4 linked regions of the Xenopus tropicalis genome follow. The protein of the gene in region 3 purifies or fractionates together with the protein of the main gene of each other region. This does not show direct contact. Links are inferred from orthologs where the notes say so. Each region holds a gene or a part of one and is shown on either strand. Other genes may lie near its edges. The genes, in order: exoc2, exoc1, exoc6 and exoc3.

Evidence for each region.
Region 1: the proteins of exoc6 (region 3) and exoc2 purify together in Homo sapiens (affinity purification with mass spectrometry; 5 studies listed by BioGRID and IntAct, counting the BioPlex papers as one, with this or other methods). This does not show direct contact. The link is inferred for Xenopus tropicalis from reciprocal best matches to the Homo sapiens genes EXOC6 and EXOC2.
Region 2: the proteins of exoc6 (region 3) and exoc1 purify together in Homo sapiens (affinity purification with mass spectrometry; 4 studies listed by BioGRID and IntAct, counting the BioPlex papers as one, with this or other methods). This does not show direct contact. The link is inferred for Xenopus tropicalis from reciprocal best matches to the Homo sapiens genes EXOC6 and EXOC1.
Region 4: the proteins of exoc6 (region 3) and exoc3 purify together in Homo sapiens (affinity purification with mass spectrometry; 6 studies listed by BioGRID and IntAct, counting the BioPlex papers as one, with this or other methods). This does not show direct contact. The link is inferred for Xenopus tropicalis from reciprocal best matches to the Homo sapiens genes EXOC6 and EXOC3.

What each region holds. Positions count from the first base shown.
Region 1 is NC_030682.2:87,069,876-87,075,694, forward strand, and holds the start of exoc2 (exocyst complex component 2), read left to right. Parts: upstream 1-2,170; 5' UTR 2,171-2,279; exon of another isoform or gene 2,280-2,319; intron 2,320-5,819. UniProt on the Homo sapiens protein: Component of the exocyst complex involved in the docking of exocytic vesicles with fusion sites on the plasma membrane.
Region 2 is NC_030677.2:40,658,883-40,664,236, forward strand, and holds part of exoc1 (exocyst complex component 1), read left to right. Parts: intron 1-573; coding exon 574-733; intron 734-1,978; coding exon 1,979-1,999; intron 2,000-4,053; coding exon 4,054-4,241; intron 4,242-5,354.
Region 3 is NC_030683.2:25,435,338-25,440,691, forward strand, and holds part of exoc6 (exocyst complex component 6), read right to left. Parts: intron 3,348-5,354; coding exon 3,264-3,347; intron 3,168-3,263; coding exon 3,121-3,167; intron 2,326-3,120; coding exon 2,205-2,325; intron 829-2,204; coding exon 757-828; intron 1-756. UniProt on the Homo sapiens protein: Component of the exocyst complex involved in the docking of exocytic vesicles with fusion sites on the plasma membrane.
Region 4 is NC_030682.2:69,102,499-69,107,852, forward strand, and holds part of exoc3 (exocyst complex component 3), read right to left. Parts: intron 5,158-5,354; coding exon 5,040-5,157; intron 1,747-5,039; coding exon 1,621-1,746; intron 624-1,620; coding exon 523-623; intron 1-522. UniProt on the Homo sapiens protein: Component of the exocyst complex involved in the docking of exocytic vesicles with fusion sites on the plasma membrane.

The sequences.
Region 1 (5,819 bases), on a different chromosome or scaffold from region 3:
TAGACCCCTATAGTCAATACATGGCCTGAAACCAGCTCCTGCTGGAGAGGAAGAGGGCCTTATATAACGACGGACGCGATCGCGTGCATCTGCGAACGCGCATGCGCGTCAAAAGGCAGCGCGCGTCTAAAAGAGGATGACGGGGGTCCCTGCAATGGAGGACGCGCGGGCGTCCCCGCTGCCCCACTAGACCATCAGGTATCGTTACACCTCATCATAAAAAGCTATTCAATTGGTCTGAAATGATCTATCCTTCATAAAACCATGCCAATTACTGCTCATAATGCCATTTTCTAGTACATAATTTTGTATGTGATCCTTTAGCAAGCCTTTAAATAATTTGTCCATCACGGATGTCACACTTACTGGCCTATAAGTGCCAGGCTGAGATTGTACATTAGCCTTCCTACCATACCAGATGAAAGAGAGTCTCAGTATGCCTGGTACATACACTGGCACAGCACTGCTACAACCTCAAAGACCAGAAACTGAACAGGTGTACCACTGGCAGTATGTGCCTTAAGTATGTGCAGATTAGCACAGTGCTCTAATACAGGAGATTCAGTGATCAGTGGGACCCAAAAATATTTATACATGCACTTAGGGGCTGATTTACTTACCCACGAACGGGTCGAATGGAGTCCGATTGCGTTTTTTTCGTAATGATCGGTATTTTGCGATTTTTTCGTATGTTTTGCGATTTTTTCGGATTCTTTACGAATTTTTCGTTACCAATACGATTTTTGCGTAAAAACGCGAGTTTTCCTATCCATTACGAAAGTTGCGTAAAAAGTTGCGCATTTTTCGTAGCGTTAAAACTTACGCGAAAAGTTGCGCATTTTTCGTAGCGTTAAGTTTTAACGCTACGAAAAATGCGCAACTTTTCGCGTAAGTTTTAACGCTACAAAAAATGCGCAACTTTTTACGCAACTTTCGTAATGGATACGAAAAACTCGCGTTTTTACGCAAAAATCGTATTGGTAACGAAAAATTCGTACAGAATCCGAAAAAATCGCAAAATGTTCGTTTTCAAGTCGGAACTTTTCCAATTCGGGTCGGATTCGTGGGTTAGTAAATCAGCCCCATAGAGTGTAAGCTCTACGGGACAGAGACCTCCTTCCTACCGTAAATGATACCACATGGCACTGCGTATTTACACTTATTTATTGTATTTATTATAATAGTTGTCCTCCCTGTGTGTAAGTTTCTCTGTTGTAAAATTGTACAGCCCTGTGTATCCTTGTAGCGCTTTCTAAATAAAGTTTTACATACATACATACATACAAGACTACAAAAAAAATTTATACAGGTTTAGTAGCACAATAGATTGATATAGGCCAGAATAATCCTCAACATTTATACACGAGGAAACCTTTTACAGCACTCATTAAAGGGCACATTAAACCCACATAAAATGGTACAATAAGCCTCAGCAACAAATAATACCCTAGTATAAATTGGTACTGTGACCCATTAAGCCTGAAATTCACCCCATCACAAAATTGCTACAGACAACCCTAATATTAACCACCAGCAGGGACTGACACGGCGTTAAAAATCATTCCCCCCACAGTTAGGCTCATCACTTTTAGGGCAGGCTGTGATAGTATGATGTAGGCATCAGCAGCAAGTGTCGGGACCAAGGCAGCAGCTGGCAGGTGGTAAAAGACTTAAATGACCCCTCTTGTGGGCCCCATATTTACAGAGGCCCATTCCATGCAATAAAAAGATTGATGCACTTCAGCTGACATGCCATTCATTTTCTCCTCTGAGGTTAAAAGAGTGCTTTACAATTGTCCCACCTTCACTCCTGTGCTTCACTTGGCTAGTTCAAGCGGGTTCTGAATGGAGGATCTTATATATAAAAAAAAAACTCACTAATCATTGCATAGACTCTGTCAGACGTGGCAGTGTGAGTTATTTTTAATGTCACATACAAAAAAAAATTTGTGTGATCCATAAACCATAGGAATTAGGGGCTACAGCTGAGTACACAGTAACAATGTAAAAGTTGTATGCAGGGCCGCCATCAGGGGGGCACAGTTGTCCCGGGCCCGGCCGCGATACAGTTATAAGCACGGGCCCCCTTTAAAGAGTTCCAGGCCTTAGTGCATTGGTGGTCAGCGGGTAATTTGATTGGTTGCGCCCCGTGCGTACGCGTGACGTCAGCACGCACGGGGCGCAACCTTATCATAGAGTAGCTGCAGCGGCGAGCCGGGGAACGTAAGAAGAGACGGGGGAGGCAGCCGGGGGAAAACAGGCGGACGCAGCCGGAAGAAGTAGGCGAGCGGTGGGGGAGAACATTGCGGGGGAGTTGGAGTATGTTGGGGAGGACGCTGGGGGGAGCTGAAGGATGTTGGGGAGTACGCAGGGGTGAGCTGGAAGTTGTTGGGGAGTATGCTGGGGGGAGCTGATTGATGTTGGGGAGTATGCTGGGGGAGCTGATTGATGTTGGGGAGTATGCTGGGGGGAGCTGATTGATGTTGGGGAGTATGCTGGGGGGAGCTGGAAGATGTTGGGGAGTATGCTGGGGTGAGCTGGAAGATGTTGGGGAGTACGCTGGGAGGAGCTGATTGATGTTGGGGAGTATGCTGGGGGGAGCTGATTGATGTTGGGGAGTATGCTGGGGGGAGCTGATTGATGTTGGGGAGTATGCTGGGGGGAGCTGATTGATGTTGGGGAGTATGCTGGGGGGAGCTGGAAGATGTTGGGGAGTACGCTGGGGGGAGCTGATTGATGTTGGGGAGTACGCTGGGGGAGCTGATTGATGTTGGGGAGTATGCTGGGGGGAGCTGATTGATGTTGGGGAGTATGCTGGGGGGAGCTGATTGATGTTGGGGAGTATGCTGGGGGGAGCTGATTGATGTTGGGGAGTATGCTGGGGGGAGCTGATTGATGTTGGGGAGTATGCTGGGGGAGCTGATTGATGTTGGGGAGTATGCTGGGAGGAGTTGATTGATGTTGGGGAGTACGCTGGGGTGAGCTGGAAGATGTTGGGGAGTATGCTGGGGGGAGCTGATTGATGTTGGGGAGTATGCTGGGGGGAGCTGATTGATGTTGGGGAGTATGCTGGGGGGAGCTGATTGATGTTGGGGAGTATGCTGGGGGGAGCTGATTGATGTTGGGGAGTATGCTGGGGGGAGCTGATTGATGTTGGGGAGTATGCTGGGGGGAGCTGATTGATGTTGGGGAGTATGCTGGGGGGAGCTGATTGATGTTGGGGAGTATGCTGGGGGGAGCTGATTGATGTTGGGGAGTATGCTGGGAGGAGTTGATTGATGTTGGGGAGTATGCTGGGAGGAGTTGATTGATGTTGGGGAGTACGCTGGGGTGAGCTGGAAGATGTTGGGGAGGATGCTGAGAGGAGCTGGAGGATGTTGGGGAGGACGCTGGGGGGAGCTGAAGGATGTTGGGGAGGACGCTGGGGGGAGCTGAAGGATGATGTTGGGGAGGATGCTGCAGTGGGCAGTGGCCCATAGTATGGGGACGCTGGGGGAGGACCAGCAATGTTTTAGGGGGTCCCTGCCCTGGCTACCAATGCAAAACGTAACCCCTGGCTACCAATGCAAAACGTAACCCCTCACTACCAATGTTCTAGGGGGGAGGGCCCTGCATATGCACAGCATACAGTTATGGACCATGGGGGAGGTAGGGGGAATGAGAGGAGTGCAGTGACATCTAGGAAATGCAGAATATAAAGTGACTGCCTGTCCCACCTGTATGCCTGAGGCAAATATAATTGACAGCTGAGATTTTGGACTTAGTTCATGACAGGTATAGATGTCTTAATTTAAAGGAGAAGGAAAGGCTAACTCACTGGGGGGTGCCAAAATGTTAGGCACCCCCAGTGACTTTAATCGCTTACCTTTTACCCCAGGCTGGTGCTCCTGTGAGAAGAAAAGTGCACCAGCCCGGGGTAGCTGCGAGCGAGTGTCTCCTCTTCAGTCTTTGTGCGCTTGCTAACTTCCCATAATGCCTTGCTCCTGCACCAAGATTGGTGTACATGCTTAGTGTGTAAGACCTATGAGGAAGCTTCCTGCTGATTGGCTCAGATCCACATTCCTATGGGGGGGAGGGAGTTCTTAGCATTCTTGAGGGAGGCGGGAGCAGGAGAGAGGAGAGAGCTGCGTGTCTCTGGCACAGGAAAACAAAGACTAGAAATCCTGTGTTTCTTTTGAAAGAGAACTCAGTGTAGCGTTTCTGTAAGTGCTTATGGCTGTATTTACATAGACCTTTATGATAATGCTTACTTAGTTTTTACCTTTCCTTCTTTAATTTTTAGTGCAGTCAGTGATTGATTGGCCAAACTGTTAGCTGTGTGGGTGTAGCATATAACATACAGACTTCACTGTACACAGCAGTTTGTGTGTTTTGAGTGTATCTCTTACAAAGTAATATACAAGTGTATGGTGCAGAAGCTTTAACTAGGTGGCTGTGATGGTAAGGGGAATATTTTAAAGGGGTCGTTCACCTTTAAGTTAGCTTTTAATATGGTATAGAATGCCCTATTCCTTGCAACTTTGCAATTGATCTAAATTATTTGTTAGTTTTTTGTTTTTTTTAATAATTTGCCTTCATCTTCTGCAGCTTTCCAGCTTTTATAGTGATAGTACCCCCTTAAATAGTTTGTGTGTGTGTGTAATAAATATATATATATATATATATATATATATACAGTGGTGTGAAAAACTATTTGCCCCCTTCCTGATTTCTTATTCTTTTGCAGGTTTGTCACACAAAATGTTTCTGATCATCAAACACATTTAACTATTAGTCAAAGATAACACAAGTGAACACAAAATGCAGTTTTTAAATGAGGGTTTTTATTATTTAGGGAGAAAAAAAATCCAAACCTACATGGCCCTGTGTGAAAAAGTAATTGCCCCCTGAACCTAATAACTGGTTGGGCCACCCTTAGCAGCAATAACTGCAATCAAGCGTTTGCGATAACTTGCAACGAGTCTTTTACAGCGCTCTGGAGGAATTTTGGCCCATTCATCTTTGCAGAATTGTTGTAATTCAGCTTTATTTGAGGGTTTTCTAGCATGAACCGCCTTTTTAAGGTCATGCCACAACATCTCAATAGGATTCAGGTCAGGACTTTGACTAGGCCACTCCAAAGTCTTCATTTTGTTTTTCTTCAGCCATTCAGAGGTGGATTTGCTGGTGTGTTTTGGGTCATTGTCCTGCTGCAGCACCCAAGATCGCTTCAGCTTGAGTTGACGAACAGATGGCCGGACATTCTCCTTCAGGATTTTTTGGTAGACAGTAGAATTCATGGTTCCATTTATCACAGCAAGCCTTCCAGGTCCTGAAGCAGCAAAACAACCCCAGACCATCACACTACCACCACCATATTTTACTGTTGGTATGATGTTCTTTTTCTGAAATGCTGTGTTACTTTTACGCCAGATGTAACAGGGCACGCACCTTCCAAAAAGTTCAACTTTTGTCTCGTCGGTCCACAAGGTATTTTCTCAAAAGTCTTGGCAATCATTGAGATGTTTTTTAGCAAAATTGAGACGAGCCATATTGTTCTTTTTGCTTAAAAGTGGTTTGCGCCTTGGAAATCTGCCATGCAGGCCGTTTTTGCCCAGTCTCTTTCTTATGGTGGAGTCGTGAACACTGACCTTAATTGAGTCAAGTGAGGCCTGCAGTTCTTTAGATGTTGTCCTGGGGTCTTTTGTGGCCTCTCGGATGAGTTGTCTCTGCGCTCTTGGGGTAATTTTGGTCGGCCGGCCACTCCTGGGAAGGTTCACCACTGTTTCATGTTTTTGCCATTTGTGGATAATGGCTCTCACTGTGGTTCGCTGGAGTCC
Region 2 (5,354 bases), on a different chromosome or scaffold from region 3:
TGCCACCTCAAAAGTGTTCCTACAGCAGTTTACGTAAGCAGACGCAGCATACTTGAACTTAAAGAATCAGATGTCATTTTAAACACCGAAGATTTTCTCGGCAACTGCGTCTGATTTGCGATTTGTGTTTTAATTTATTGGAATAATTACACACCACACTTGCACTCAAAAATGAGCCCTACTATTTACATTATACTAACTACCGCTTAAAAGTATTTTGATGTTGTGGATTTCATTATCACAGTAAAGAAACATTATTATGCTCAAATGTAAATTGATTTGTTGATTCACACTTTGGTTTGCAGTGATTCTCGCTGATCAATTTTTATTGTTCTTGTAAAATCATTTTGCCCTTTTTGCTAATGTGCTTTACTTTCTTCCATGATGACTTCTTAAGTATGGGCATAAAACTCCAGACAGCACATTGTCATCCATTATAATTCATTCAAGTTAAACTCCAGTACTCCACGTTTATATTTACTGACCTAATAAATAGCAACAGGTCAGTTCTGCAGAGCACTGCATGTTGTGCGGGTTTTTTATTTTACAACATTTTTTTTACCTATTCTGCAGGAAAACCCTGATTTTGATTTGCATTTTGACAAAGTGTACAAATGGGTAGCAAGCAGCATTGCTGAGAAGAATGCATTCATTTCTTGCCTCTGGAAGCTGAATCAAAGATATCTGCGGAAGAAAATTGACTTTGCCAATGTAAGCTCCCAGCTATTGGAAGGTAAGCCTTAAAGTATGGCTGGGATACAGCTTATGGTTGCTCTTTTTAATAAAAGTTTTTTTTTTTTAATTCAACGGTTTTGCAGAGTTAAAAAAAACACTCATCATTTTCATGCAAAGCAGAAGGAATTTTGGGTTATTATCGCTCCTAAATTTTTATTTTCATGAAATACCCTATAGGCAAAGCTCCCCTACTGGGTTTTAAACCCTCTGTTCATTTGTATGCAAAGCAGAAAGAATTCTGGGTAAGAAATCTGGTATTTGTATACATTTTACCTTTCTTATGGCATGCTCTACTATAGGTTTTAGATCTTCCACTCACAGAGACTCTTTATAATGATATTTGTAGTTTACAGACTGTGCCCATGGCTTGTAAAATGAGTAATTATGTGAACATGAAAGATGCAAGTAAAACAAATCTTAGCTTTTCAAATATGTGTGGGAGTTGTTCCAGAGTTTAAGTACTTTGTCTCTGATTTTGGGCCTGACAACTTAATTCATGCAAAGAACAGGGCTTGCAGAGTCTGAGACAGTTCTGCAAGTGCTGCTGGGCCCTTTTGGACAATAATGATGAATTATGATCTGGTACAAGTTTATACAGGCAGGCCCCCGTTCCCGTGACCAATAAGACTCAGAGGCCATTGCGCAAAGATGAGTCAAAAAGCAGAGCAGCAGAGATCACTTTGCAGTTTATGATAATGTTGTTTGAATGTTGCATTTGGTCTTTCTAGTCAGTTACTTTGTATGATTTTGGTGTAGAGAAAGATATTAATTCCTTTTAGATGTCAAGTAAATTAATTAATCATTACATTGCCTTTTACCTATACTAAGCAACCAAATGCAGTGGAATGAGTTAAGATGGATGTGCTCAGAACCTTACCCAGACTGATGCCATTGCTGATATTCTGGGCAATTTAGCAGTGATAAAGAAATGGGTGTATGTGGAAACCATAACATTTAGAGCTAAAGTACAATGCAAGCATCATCAAACAGGAACATTCTCAATCATCATTAACAGGGGTGAATGAAAACAGGAGGCGTTTTCAGATAGGACTAAGTATTATTCTGCATTTACCCAATTTTAATGATTGCATGTTAATACCTAGAGTGCTTTGTCCTGTGTGTGAGAGCTATAGCCAATCAATATAACTGTTTCCAAATGTCTTTTGAGAACATTGCCTGTCTTGCTTTAATACTCTCTTGCTTACTGTCCTCTGCTCTTTTTTCCATACTTATTACTCTCCAGAACTGCCTAAAGTTGCTGAAGGTGGGTGTCATGATTTATTTATACATGTTCCTATACTAATACAGATCAACTGGAGTCAGATTTTTTTTTAGAAACAGGATGAAGTGGGATTTATTCATATACAGTATTACTATATAATAATGCCCTCTGATTTGCTATGGAATCTTTGGATTTTAAAATCCTCTTAGCATGCTGTATACCTTTACAAATGAGAGTTCATGGAGAAAATATTCCTTTAGTTTATACTGGAAGTATAGTTTTACCTTATGTCTAAAGAGATATTATATCCACTTTTAAATATTGGCTCAATTAACAGGGCTTGGGCTGAACATACTTTTAGCTTATTGTTCTAGTTATGATATATCTGGTTTTTAACAATTATTTTTAAATTAAACGGATAAAATTTAAATTAAATTAAAGCCACATTCTGCTTCCTGATAAAAAGACAGACCAATCAGCAGTCCATTGAGAAGCTTCTGTATAAATGAATCCCTTCCTTTCCCCAGCTACAGCCTGTTATGTTTTTAGATAAAGAGCAGATCGTTATACAGATGCTTCTTATTGGGCATACATATTTACTAATTAAATCTAAAGGCATCAAGTATCAAAAGGCATCAAGCTCTATTCATTGAGCCAGTGTTGATTAAGGTAATAGGCACTGCAATGTTGCTTTTTTTTTTTTGCTGCCTAGAATAAGAATGCTGAAGTAGAGTCTTTAGAGAATGCCTTAGCTGAGGCAAGCAATATGGCAGTATGTCACAGCTTATTTACAAGGCTGCTGCACTAACCTGACTTCCACTGTTGTCAGTGTTATTAAACGTGATAATGCCACTGTGCACTTTTTAAATAGGAACATGCTTAGGTTCATCCCTTATGATGCTATTATAATCTTATGCTCAGGTTGATGTAAAGTAGTTGGAAGTACCCGGTATGAATTTACAGTGCCCCCAAATAAGGGGGGAAGGAAGAGAAGGATTTGTTCTTTACATTTTAATTTATATGGTATCTGGCATTTGTTTTCCAGTAATTTGCAATAATAATGAGGGGCGCATTACTAATGTAAGCCAGTGTTCTTTTGTGGCTACTTTGTAAATAGCATGCACTTTGCAGAATGTACAAACCAAATTAGTTAAGCAGCGCACATCCTTATTAGGGATTTATAGTATATTCAACTTGTTTCTGTACTTCAGAAATTCTGGTTTATAAAATGATAGGAATTACTATTAACAGGAGTGAGAGAAATCAAATCTTGATGTTTTCCTTAGACTGAAGATTATTAGGTCAGCGTTTCTTTTCTTTTCCTTTGCCTGCCTTTCTGACAGCTTTCTGTTTTCTTTGATCCATTTTCTCTGAAAAGTATTTAATACGTTTTAGAATCCACCTTTGAAATTAGACACATTAAATGCCAAGTCACATTTACAGGGGATCATTGTATTCATTCAAGTCATTGTATTCTAAGAACAAATGGTCTTTTTTGGTTATTTTTCCATTTTAATCTGTTGTTTTGTTGCACAACTTTCCACGTGGCATTTAAGCTATCTGGTTGCTTGGTTCCAACTTAACCTAGCAACCAGGCATTGGTTTTAATGACACAAGATGATGAATAGGGGAATGGCATTTTAAAGCTTAAGTTAGAAAAAGTCTGAATAGTACAGGTATAGGACCCATTATCCAGAATGCTCGGGTCCAAGGGTATTCCGGATAAGGGATCTTTCCGTAATTTGGATCTCCATACCTTAAGTCTACTAAAGAATCAATAAAACATGAATTAAACCCTATGGGATTGTTTTGCATCCAATAAGGATTATTTATATCTTAGTTGGGATCAATTACAAGGTACTGTTTTATTACTACAGAGAAAAAGGAAATCAGTTTTAAAATTCTGAATTATTTGATTAAAATGGAGTCTTTGGGAGACGGGCATTGCTTAATTCTGGGTAACGGGTTTTCGGATAAGGGATCCCATACCTGTACTGCGGATTATAAAAAAAAATACCTTTGGAGAAGGGCAATTAGTTTTGTGTCCATAAGAATATAAATAGTAATCCATGTTTTTTCACTGTCACTTCTTAAAGAATCTGTCCCTAGTGGGGAAAACCAGAGTGTGACTGGGGGAGATGAAGAAGCAGCAGCTGAGTACCAGGAGCTAAATGCCAGAGAGAAGCAAGACATTGAGATTATGATGGAGGGCTGTGAATATGCCATCTCCAATGCAGAGGCTTTTGCAGAGAAATTATCCAGAGAGCTTCAGGTTTTGGATGGGGTAAGACCAAGTGATGACTATGATGCTAACCCTCTGGGATGTATAACCCACATGACTTATCCACTGTTAAACAACAAAGTAGATAATGTATAAACTCACTCTAAATATGGCCGATAGCAAAAAAAACTTGGCAAACCGTTTGTGTACCAAATGTAGAAGTAGAAAAAGCTAGCACCGTCCACACTAACCATACACGTTCAAAAAATAATAACTGTCTATACTCTCACATTGAGATTAGATGGAATAGAGTAGAAGTACTGGGGTAACGTGCAACTGAAGTAAAATTATGTAAAGAAAAAGAGAAAAACAGGGAGACACGCTAGCAGGTGGTCCCTGTATAGACTTCAGAGCTTTGCACCGTTAATCCCAGGAAAAGGTAATGATTATTAACAGGTAATTCACTTGATCAAAATAGGATAGGAAATTAAAACTTAACCTTTATTAATCAAACTTAAAAGGTGAAGTATATCTTAAAGAAATCCCCATTAAAAATCGCCTGGGGTGATGTTCAATAACAATAAGAACTATGAGGTAGTGTAAGGCTGCTCAGAGTAAACCTGTCTGATTAAATTCGCTAAATTGTTGCAGTTTGAAAGATAACTTTTGTATCGAAATTCTCTGCTTAAACAGCCCTGTGAAGGCAGTCAGGGAGAGATTGTGATAAACCTGCAACAATTGTTACGAAAATGTTGCCATATAAGGAGAACTCAGATCGGGTTTCCTTATAATCTAAAGTCACTGCTTAGCAGAGTAGGGGATTCGAACCCCGTTATAACTGAAATGAGGTGCAGATCTCTTTTAGCTTAGGGCTGAAATTCAGCCGTTTCTGTGTCCACCACCCCACAATAGAATAAATTTGGGTAAATCTATATTGCAGCCCAACCTCCCATTCTATATATTGAAGCACCCTTGCTAAATAAAATGCACATCATTCGTGCAGACGTTTCAACCCACCCTTCCCAACCCAAAGCCCCGCATCAACACCCGTTCCACCCCCCTCAAAGCCCGACGCACGTTTCGCCCCTACACGAGGAGCTTTTTCAAGGACTGGCGGCGCGCCCCCAGGATGTCGGCTTTTAAATTTGCTGTAGTAACTCCTATTGGGCAGATGGC
Region 3 (5,354 bases):
TCAGAACTGAATTGGAAAAATTCCAATTTGAAAACGAACATTTTGCGACTTTACGACTTTTCGGAAATTGTCGCGACTTTTTCGTTACCAATACGTTTTGCGCGAAAAAACGTGAGTTTTTCGTAGCCATTCCGAAAGTTGCGCAAAATCTGGCGATTTTTTCGTAGCGTTAAAACTTGCGCGAAAAGTTGCGCCTTTTTCGTAGCGTTAAAACTTAAAAGGTGCGACGTTTCGCGCAAGTTTTAACGCTACGAAAAATCGCCAGATTTTGCGCAACTTTCGGAATGGCTACGAAAAACTCGCGTTTTTTCGCACAAATCGTATTAGTAACGAAAAAGTCGCGACAATTTTCCAAAAAAAATCGCAAAATACCGATCATTACGAAAAAAACGCAATCGGACGCATTCGGCCCGTTCGTGGGTTAGTAAATGTGCCCCTAAGGGACTGATAAATGCAGCTGGTGGCTGAATCTAAAGTTGCTTAATAGAATTAAAAAATAAACCTAAAATGTCCTGCAGAATTTATACATAAAAAAAAAAAACCTGCATCCCTGCTTTTTGTTTGTAGGAGACCGAATCCCATGATATATATATATATATATATAAAACTGTTCACCTGGCATATTCCTACAGTAGAAAATAAACTTATTTTATATCTGACAGAACTGAGCACAATGAAATGTTTCTTCTTTCATCTGGCATCCAAGGCCTGGCGAATCTAATTAGACTGAACTGGAAGATCCCAGATAACACTTACCTGCATAGTATCAGCAAACACAACAATCAGGTTCTTAAGCTCCAGGACAAGATCGGGGTCAGTGCAATACGACTACAAAGAAATGAGATTTGTTAAGTGTATTACAAACTGTGCTTAAAAGCTGCACCTTGTGCTAAATCGACTGGTGAGGAAAGATGTGCTGAGATATTGGGCTCTGATCTGATACCCAGGTCTGCAGATAATATCACAGAGGTTTTAATGATAACTTTTTTCTATGACCAAGAGATTCTCACTGCATGCTGTGTATAAGTGCACAGTTTTACTTGGAGTGACAAAAATACCCCCTGTGGGGGGATCTATTATTTATGATGTGACCCATAGCTCTCCAGCTTCTGCTGAAAAGTGGCTCTGTATGCATACATATAAGCTGTGAGCTGCTCAAGAGAATACTCAGTTAGTTGCTTTCATTTACCCACATAATTGTCATGTTGCTTTCATTATTTTAACTGCATTAGACCAAGATAAAGTATTAGTTACAGTTTGCTACCGCACTATGGCATCTTTGCAGGGTCACTGTGTATGAGTCTGCGTGTATACATGAAAGTTATATAAGTCTGTATTTCATCAATAGGCCTCTTAGGTCTCACCTATCCATGCAGTGAGGGGGCAGTGCAAGTAAAGTGGGATTTTAACCCAGTATGTCCAGAATGGAGCACATAGGGCATAAGGGATCCTTAGCACTCTGCACCTAACAAACACTGGCAGCTCTGTATTCATGGAGGAAGTATGGCTATTCATTCTCCATTCTGAAGCACAAACATGAGTCCACTTTTTGTACTTTACCCTGCACTTTGTAAATAAGGCCCTTAAAGACTCGATTTTGCACCCCTCAACATTCTAGCATTTGGATTCAGGGCCTTTGTAAAGAAGGCACAGTAAGTTTTCAGTGTATTGTAACAGATTTGTATTTATATATTTCTGTACAGCAAATAATTCACCCATAATAAACTGGTCCTGAAAGGTCTTATCTCTCTTCGATTATCACTGCCTGCATCATCCCAGAAGTTACGTTTAAGGGGAACTTCCCATTTCAGTGAATAAACCAGAAAAAGTTTATTTTGGGAACAGGGTATCTGGCGCAATCATCTGAAACCATTTCCTGGTGGCAGTCTGAGTGCTGACCTATTCAGTTTGATCTAATGAAGGCCAGTTGAGGCTAATGAGGACAGATAGCCTTAATAACAGCAGATTAACTATGCATATTCTAAAGTACTACACTATGCTGTAAGGACCCAGTAACTTGTAAATCAGAGAAGGATTATGCAGATAGCCCTCAGCTGTGGCTCACAGCTTGAACCTCCCGGGAACACAAAAGCCCTGGTAGCACTAGAACACAAGCCCTGACTGCTGAAGGATGCTGGGAGTTGCATGTATGTACCTTTCAGTCATTACATAACCCCACCAGGTCAGAATTCTGCCTTTCTTACCGAGTGCGTTCGAAGGACAGCTATGATCTTCGACTGCGCCATATTCCATAGTTCGGTGGTGTAAGAGCCAGTGACGAGCCCTTGTGTTACATGTAAAATATGATCTTCCACAACAAAAAATCTGAAATAAAGGGGAAAAAACTGTTTATTCAAATTAATGTGTCAGTAGATTTCACATTCAATAACATCATTCTAAGAATATTCATGGTTGGCGTATCTGTACATTTGGGTGAAATTTTATGGGTAAAGCAAGGCTGATCTTTTATTGTGGAAGGCATTAAGAAACGTTGCCATTTCATTTAATAAGCCCTGACAGGGGCAGTCTTTGGGCAGAGCAGAGATGGGCACCAACAACAGGGAACCCACAAGGGAAAGAATGTTGTGTGGTTCACTTACTCAGCTGGGGCATTTCATTTCTATAGAATGATTTCCATATGATGATCAAAACCCATGAGAAATTTCACCACTTGATGCTAACTCAATGGTACCCAACCTGTCCCCAAAGTACAACTCCCAGCATTTTGTAATATGTAACCAAGTGTCTGACCTTGCTAGGGGCTGGTTGAGACTAAAGGGTTGGGACCTACTGTTGGATTCCATAACGTATTTTAAATAAACCACCACCCTGTTCTAGACCTGCAAACACTGACTAGCATCATCTAGAAGACCCATCTAAGATTCCCATAAATGAGAGCCCCAAAGATCCGGAGTAGTAGCTGGCAATATAGCTAGGATTTAGGCCCACAGCAAACAATCAATAGATATTGCATAGATATTGCACTTGATATTGTGGAAGTGAATACGGCAGATCTTCTTCACAAGACGGCACCAACTGAAACTCTCTATATGCCTTCAATCTTGAAAAGAATATCAATATAAAACATGGTGAAAATTCACAATGCATTAAAATACTCACCCTGCAATCTGACTGAAATATTTTCTGTAACCTTCAACAGTTTCATGCTTTTAAAACAGAGCACAAAAAAGACACACATATATTAATACATATCAAGTTGTGGACAGTCAAGAACAATATTCTCTGAAAGAAAATCAGTTTACCATGGTGGACTGGGGCTGCAGGACTAATCTCGCTTGTTTTCTTCTCTGCTTTCTGTAGTAGTTTTCAAATACTTCTTTATCACCCTAAAACGTAACCACAGAGAGAGACGTTAATGTTCCCCAGATGCTAAAGAGCAATTCGCCTAAATATGATCTGAGGCTGCAGCTTATCGCTCTCAGGCTGATAAGGAGCCAAGAAAATGATAATTTGATACTAGTTATAATTTGATTAAACCACAATTCTTACTTAAACTGATCAGAACTCCCGCTGAAAATGAATTCTGAAGGCAGTCTATTGCTAAAATCTGACTCCTGCTATGGTAATGTCAAGAGAAAGGGACAAACATTATAGCTTACATGAAATAGGGTAGAATCACATTCATATAAATGTATTTAGAAGGAGTCTACTCTAATTAAGACATATAATATTGCCAATGATGTTTTTAGACTAGTCATGTAACTATTTAAATCCTGCACAGGTTGTAGTTGTACTTTGTTGTTGCTTTTGTTACACAATCTAATGTGCCCTTTATTCCTCTGTGGATGTGTGGAGGAACGCATTGGACAAACATGCTTGAGAAAGGGTGCAAAGAGCCCATAGTATTGCTCTTTTTCAGTACATTGCCATTAAGCATGGATAAAGACTATTTTAATGGAGTGCTGCTTAGGTGTTGTAAGTTGCTGTATTTGACCCTGGAGCTAGTTCAGGAGCACATGTCTGCTATAACTGGTGTGCCATTCCTATGATCTATTTGTGTGTGACCAGAACTGGAAAACACCACTATGAATGATGGTCTTTTATCTTAGTGGTGTGTCTGCCAGTTTGGCACTAATGGGGGGATGGGCTCTGGATTTCAGGAGGCATGGAAAAAAACCTTTAAAGTGCCATGGACACTAATGGTTGGTACCAGTTTGATGGTATATCTTCCTGCTGCCCATTGTATATTCTATTTGATCTCTGTTAAAGACTTTAGTCTCTAGCTGATCCTGTCTGATCTCTGTCTGCCCTGGCCCATTGCCTGGACTTAAGCTTGTTAGCTCATCACCCGCCCTTTTACCCTGTGTATAACAGTGCCTACTGTCTGCCTTTCCTGCCTCAAAATACCCCTGTTGGCCAAGAATCTATTCCAGGTCTGGACTCGGATTCAAAATAGGCCCTGACTTTTTAAGTACACAGAGGCCCAAATAGCCCTCCACCAGCCCACTAAATAGTAACTGCCTATGGCATCTTACAGCAGGCCCTTGGGTATTTGCCAGAACCAACAGATTTCCAGTCTGGCCCTGACCTGTCCTGTCTTATCTCTAGTCAGCTTCCTCCTTGACAATAAGTAATACTATACAGCATTGTTCCCCAACCAGTGGCTCGTGAGCAACATGTTGCTCACCAACCCTATGCATGTTGCTCCCGGTGGCCTCAAAGTAGGTGCCTATTTTTTTATTAAGGTAAGGAGGCAAGTTTAGGTTGCAAAAAAACAAGTATAATGCCAAACAGAGCCTTCTGTAGGCTGCCAGTCCACATAGGGGCTATTAAGTAGACAACTAAACCTGTATTGGCACCCCCAGGAACCTTTCTCATGCTTGTGTTGCTCCCCAACACTTTTTCCATTTAAATATGGCTCATGGGTATAAAAGGTTGCTGCTACACAGCATGTAACTCACTGTCAGGAAAATGTCCTTGACTATTAGAAAAGTTTTGACTGCAATCAAAGACATTTCACTTGTGTCTTTTCTCAGAAGTAAAAGAGGCATCATTGTGTTCTCAATAAGAAGAACCATTCAGAAGAAGACATCTGTCCAATGAAAACTACTACAACTCTACTGTCCCATCAAACCAGTTAATGCAATGGCACCTGCATGCCTGCAGTATTTATGCAGCTTTTGGGGGACATGTTACTGTTAGGTCAGTCTCTTAGTATTCCATTAAGCAGTTCTAAGCTCTCCCATTTTGGCTTACCAAACAACAAAACAAACCACAGCTTGGCCAGTGTGCATTGGGCAGCCCCAGGTACTGACTGTACAAACACAATTATAATGCAGTAGACTCAAGCCTGATGATTGCACCAGTAAGGAGCCATCCACAGACGTTTGGAC
Region 4 (5,354 bases), on a different chromosome or scaffold from region 3:
TGGGTTCTTGGAGAAACACCCTATTACTGTTGTTAAAGAACAATATTTTGTGGAAATATAAATTAAGTATAAATTAAACCTGCTACAGTCCCTGGCAGTTTTTAAAATGAGGGGTGGGCATGTCCTATGGTCCCTGCCAGAAGCACAGGAGGAGGGGAACAGCCAAGCACAGTCCTGCAGTAAAACAAGCAAAGACAGGATTCAGTTCCCTATCATGTTAGCCTTGCTGCACTATGGAACAGTTGGCAGACTTGCTGGGACTTGTTTGGGAATTTTTCATAAATCAGGCCAAAATACTACTTTAAGCTAAGTTTAACAGGTGTTTTTACACCAGACTGTTTTCATGGATTTGAGTATTTTATTTCTGCACTTTGAGAAAGTCTTGGGACTTGGAGCTAAAATGGTAGACTTCACTTCAATAAACTACCTTGATACCTTATAAGTGAAAATACAAAATAGAAGGCAAGCAAACAACACAAAACAGCTTGTGTCAGAATTATGTGAAACAATGTCTTTTTATACCTATTTAGAAAAGTATTCATCTGTTGGAGGCACAAATGAAGGACTTTCTTTTTTAAATCATCACTAATCTGTGCAGCAACCTGCAGATTCTGCTCAAACATCTGAAAAAAAAAAAAAAAAAAAATTACATAGAAGGCAGAACATAACAGCACTGGATAATCAATAGTTGCAAAATGTTGCCAGTTATATTATGGTTCTCTGCCCCAATGTGAACTTCATATATCCTTTAGAACTGACCATAATACAACAGAGCCCTTACTGAATGTTCTTGCATACCAAGATACTGAACATCAGCCTGTTTAGTTTCATTTGTGGGTTTTACGTAAATTCCTAATGTCTTCCCTCTGGGTATGAACGAACTCATGTGATTTTTTTAAAATTATATTTTCAAATATTGTTAGAAATATTTTGCAATCAGGTTGATTATATACAACTGTTGCTAATATTGTAACTGAATCAGATGAAACTATTTTCCTAAAAATATGCTCTTTTTGGAAAGCTTTCCACTAGACACTGGAACATAATTGGTAACATTTTCTTCTATTCATCCAAAAGAGCATTAGGGTGGTTGGCCTCTGATGGCATTGATCAGGCATGGCTTGCAGCTGGTGTTCATTCCACAAGTGTTGGTTGTGTGCAGAGCAATTTTACCATCTTAGAAAACACATTCTTTACAGACCTCATTATAGTGATAAAACTGTTGCCACAAAAATCATTTTTGGCTGATAGGGCTGCTTTTGTAAGTAATTGTTACTCAAAGTTCCTAAACCTGATTCTTACCAACCTGACTGTCACTTCTCAACCTGTCAATAATAGTTTCTAATGCTAACTACTGCTGCACAAATATGGCAGCCCCCCTCATACAGGAACACCGGGAATCAGATAAGTAAAGTAAAAGCATCGGGCAAATACTTTTAAGGCAAAATTATAAACAGCATGCAGACAAATTTTGCTGAATGCATTGTTGTTGTATTCCTAGTTCCATCCAACATGTTTTTAACCTTGCAATTAAAATCGGTTTTTAATTTCTACGATCAAATGAAGCTGAATGTGAGAATGAAAAACGCGTATATACTCAACACAGTAGTGGTTTCTTACCTGGAAAACAATGGCAGGCAATGTAGTCTGGAAGTACCCATCTTGGTCAGCTTCAGGCTCAGTATTCTTGTCCCAATCCTTTTTGTCAGTCTCAAGTGCTTTTCTTAACCAGGCAATGATGTTAGACTGCATTTAAAAGCATACCAAGGGTTAAATCACACACGCAATGCACAAAAACACAAGCTCAGCTATAGTAAAAGCAATGGTAAACAGAAATGGCCTGTTAATATTTTATATGTCATATATCAAAGACATATGGCAAGCATCTATGCAAAGATAATGTTTGCTTACATATGAAAATATATTTATGGTAAATATAGCAACATAACAGCCAATGACAACACAAACGTAGGGAGAGTACAGTAAATCAATTGGGACACTGGGCATGAAACTGTTCAGTGGCCCTTTGGAGTTTATATTTAAGATGTTTTATCTTGGTACCTAATGATATGTGGGAGATAAGATGTTGCAAATTGGAAGCTTTGAGGTGGTTTTTGGAAACGTCTTCAAAATTGCCAACTTTAGGAAAGCTTTGCAGTTTGGTTGTTTGGAGTGGAAAGATGTGTACCCATTTTGAATTTGAAGAAATGTGTACTTTCCAAAAATATATGGCTTTCTGTAAATTAATACAACACATGGGGCCAGATTCATGAAATCACAAGTTCCCAAATGGTATAAATTCCGATTGGATACGATAATTTCTTAAGATCGCAAATATGCTTACGAAAAAATCATATTGGCAATCTGAAAGTCACAAAATTTTCGTAAAATGCAGGAAAACCTTTCCGACTTTGATCCTTCTGTGCATGATTTTGGAAGCCTCCCATAGGAATCAATGGCACTCTGCAGCTCCAACCTGGCCCAAGGAAAGTCACGATAACGAAGCTTGAATGAATCCGAAACTTTCGTACTCGGTGCAACAATACGATTTTGAAGCACAAATTTGTTGCAAGTACGAAAAAGTTGCGGAAGGTACGAAAAATTTGCACAAGCGACAAAAAAGTCAAACGAATGCTCGGAGCGTTCGTGGATTAGTAAATGTTCCCCATGAAGTATCTTTATCCCAGGGTCCCTACATGCCACATCTTTTATACACAGTGGACATCAAACTGTTCACAGGATGACTGCCATTCTTATTTATGGTGTTTTATCCTGTTACTTAATGACTTGTAGGAGATACAATGATAACGATAATTTTAGTAAACCAATGCAACTTGGTAGTTTGGAGTAGAAAGGGATATTTGCCTCTTTGGATTCATCAGAACCTGCCCTTTCCAAAAATGTATAGTTTGCTAGGGTTTGCTGTTGGTGGAATTTTTACCCTTGAATATGCAGATTTCTGAAGCAGTGCTTTAGAAAATTGGTAGTGTACTACTGGGATTTGGTGACCTATACAATTGTACAGAAGATATATGACTTTGCAAATCAGATGCATTTTAGTGCATAAATTAAATTATGTTTTTGATATAAGCTTTTATATTATGGAAAATTATATTTTACATTATATTACATTTAAAAGCCTTTTTTTGTGTTATAAAAGTGAAATTACACTAAAATTCTAAAATACTGTGAAAGATTATCTTGTCCTAAAAAATAATATATCATTTTCCTGGATAAACTAAAGGTCCCCCTAGAAAAGGCCCCTAAAGTGAAAGAGTGTAAAATGTTTCAAAAGTGCCTGGCAATATAAATACCACAAGTGACCAAATCGGTTGGCAGCAAAAGGGTTAATGTGTAATATAAAGTTGCTTCACTTTAACACTTCCCATATTATTCAATGTATTTTATTTTTCAATTTTCCCTTCTCTACCTTGCTGTCCTCCTCATTCATGATTTCTCTCCTGTTGTCTATTTGTTTTCATTTCCAGTGCAATTTAAGTTTTATTCTTATTTCTTTCTTGCCGTCACCTATCTTTTTATCACAATTTTTCTACCGCACTCCACTCTCAGGGGATTCCGTTTGTCTGCCAGGTTCAAGCAATGTATATATAGATGTAAACAGCTACAGACTGAAGCAGCTCCTTATTAAAGTTTTCCTTTATTCTCCAAGCTCAAAGAGTGAAATCAATCAGTCATTTATATAGTGCTGTGCGATCCAATCAGACAACTGTGTGGAGCCTAAAAATTCCTGAAAACCTGTATAATGCCTGTATATACATTACTGGTACAAAGCTGCTCACCAATGTATCATGACAAGAGAGCAGCAAGGGCAGATTAAGTGATTCTTGTGCACAAGGCTGTACACAATACATTGTCCCTCCAGAGGAGTTATGTTGGACATAGCTCACCACAGCAGTTTGCCCACGCCTACTTTTAAATGCCACATCCACTTTAAAGGAAAAGTAACACTAAAAATTTTTAACTAAAAAATCTATTCTACCCTGCCCCAATAATTGCCCTATCCTACAAACCATTTATTATTTTGAATGCTGTAGTACAAAATACCTGTTAAAAGTTGCCTTCCGGTCATTTGAAGAAAGGCGATACGGCAATGCAGGTGAAGTATCAGGGGAAGCGTCCACTATGCAGCGATCGATTGATCGAGTCTAGCCTTCCTTCTGTATAGGAATGAGTCATGCTAGGCTTGATCAATAGAGTAAGAGTACTGGTAGTGTAATCCCAGGACATTATGTACAGTGAGATAAGCGGGCACTGGCATCCAATATACATTATTACAGTGACAGGCAGGTAGTACAGTTGTTTATACATAATAAAACTAAAATGGACACATTTAGTATTGCAGTATTACTAAATGATAGATTTAGATTAAATGTAAAAAAGAACATCCCCCCAAATAACAGAGGATGATGAGTACAAAACATTTAAATCTAAAAATAAAGAAAAGTAAAGAAAAGTTTCAAATGCCTTATACTTTTGAGGACTATTTGGGTGACAGGTCCACTTTAAACAATGTGCTAAGAAGTCATTTTGGCAACACTTCCAAAGTGGACCTGTCACCCAGACATAAAAAGCTGTAGGCATTTAAAAATCCCAGCTGTCTATCATATATTGCTTGCCCCGCCTCTATGCCTTAGGCATAGAGGCGGGGCAGACAATTACTTTAACTTCCAGTTCAGCTTACTTTCCCCCTCCCACCTGACCATCTAATTGTGTAGCCAGTGCATGGGCCTGGGCATCAGGCCCCCATTCTGGCACATACACAAGATTTCGGGGTGATACAAAGCTTGCCTTAATAAGCTTGTCCACAAAATGGCACCTGCCTATTTGCTGTGATTGTGTAATTCCAGGACTGAAAGAAAAAATATTTATGTATATATATTATATATATTTTATAGTGTAAGTGAAGGTTTTTTTGCTTAACAAACACAAGAGAAAAGAATTTTGAATTATTTCTTAGGTCCTCAGGTCCCCTTTATACACAGACTAAAAAGATATAAAAGAAGACAACATCTGCTTACTCTGAGAGTTGCCATGTATTTATGGAGCAACTGGTCCACTATGTCCTGAGAAAGAAGTGGCTTCAGTGACTTCACATTTATTTCTGGAATCAGCTCTGGGTTCCCCATCATCTCTACACTGTGTGGTCAATGACAACAGTTACAATAATAAAAGAATATGAAATAGTAGGCCCTGATAGAGATCAACATATCCTTGGTGTACAGTAAAGGTTACAGAGTTACCGAAAGTAGCATAAAGGAACAAAAACAAAATTCCAAAATGACCCAAAGCATTCAATAAACAAGCAGCAACATGACTTTCTCTGCATCTAAGTT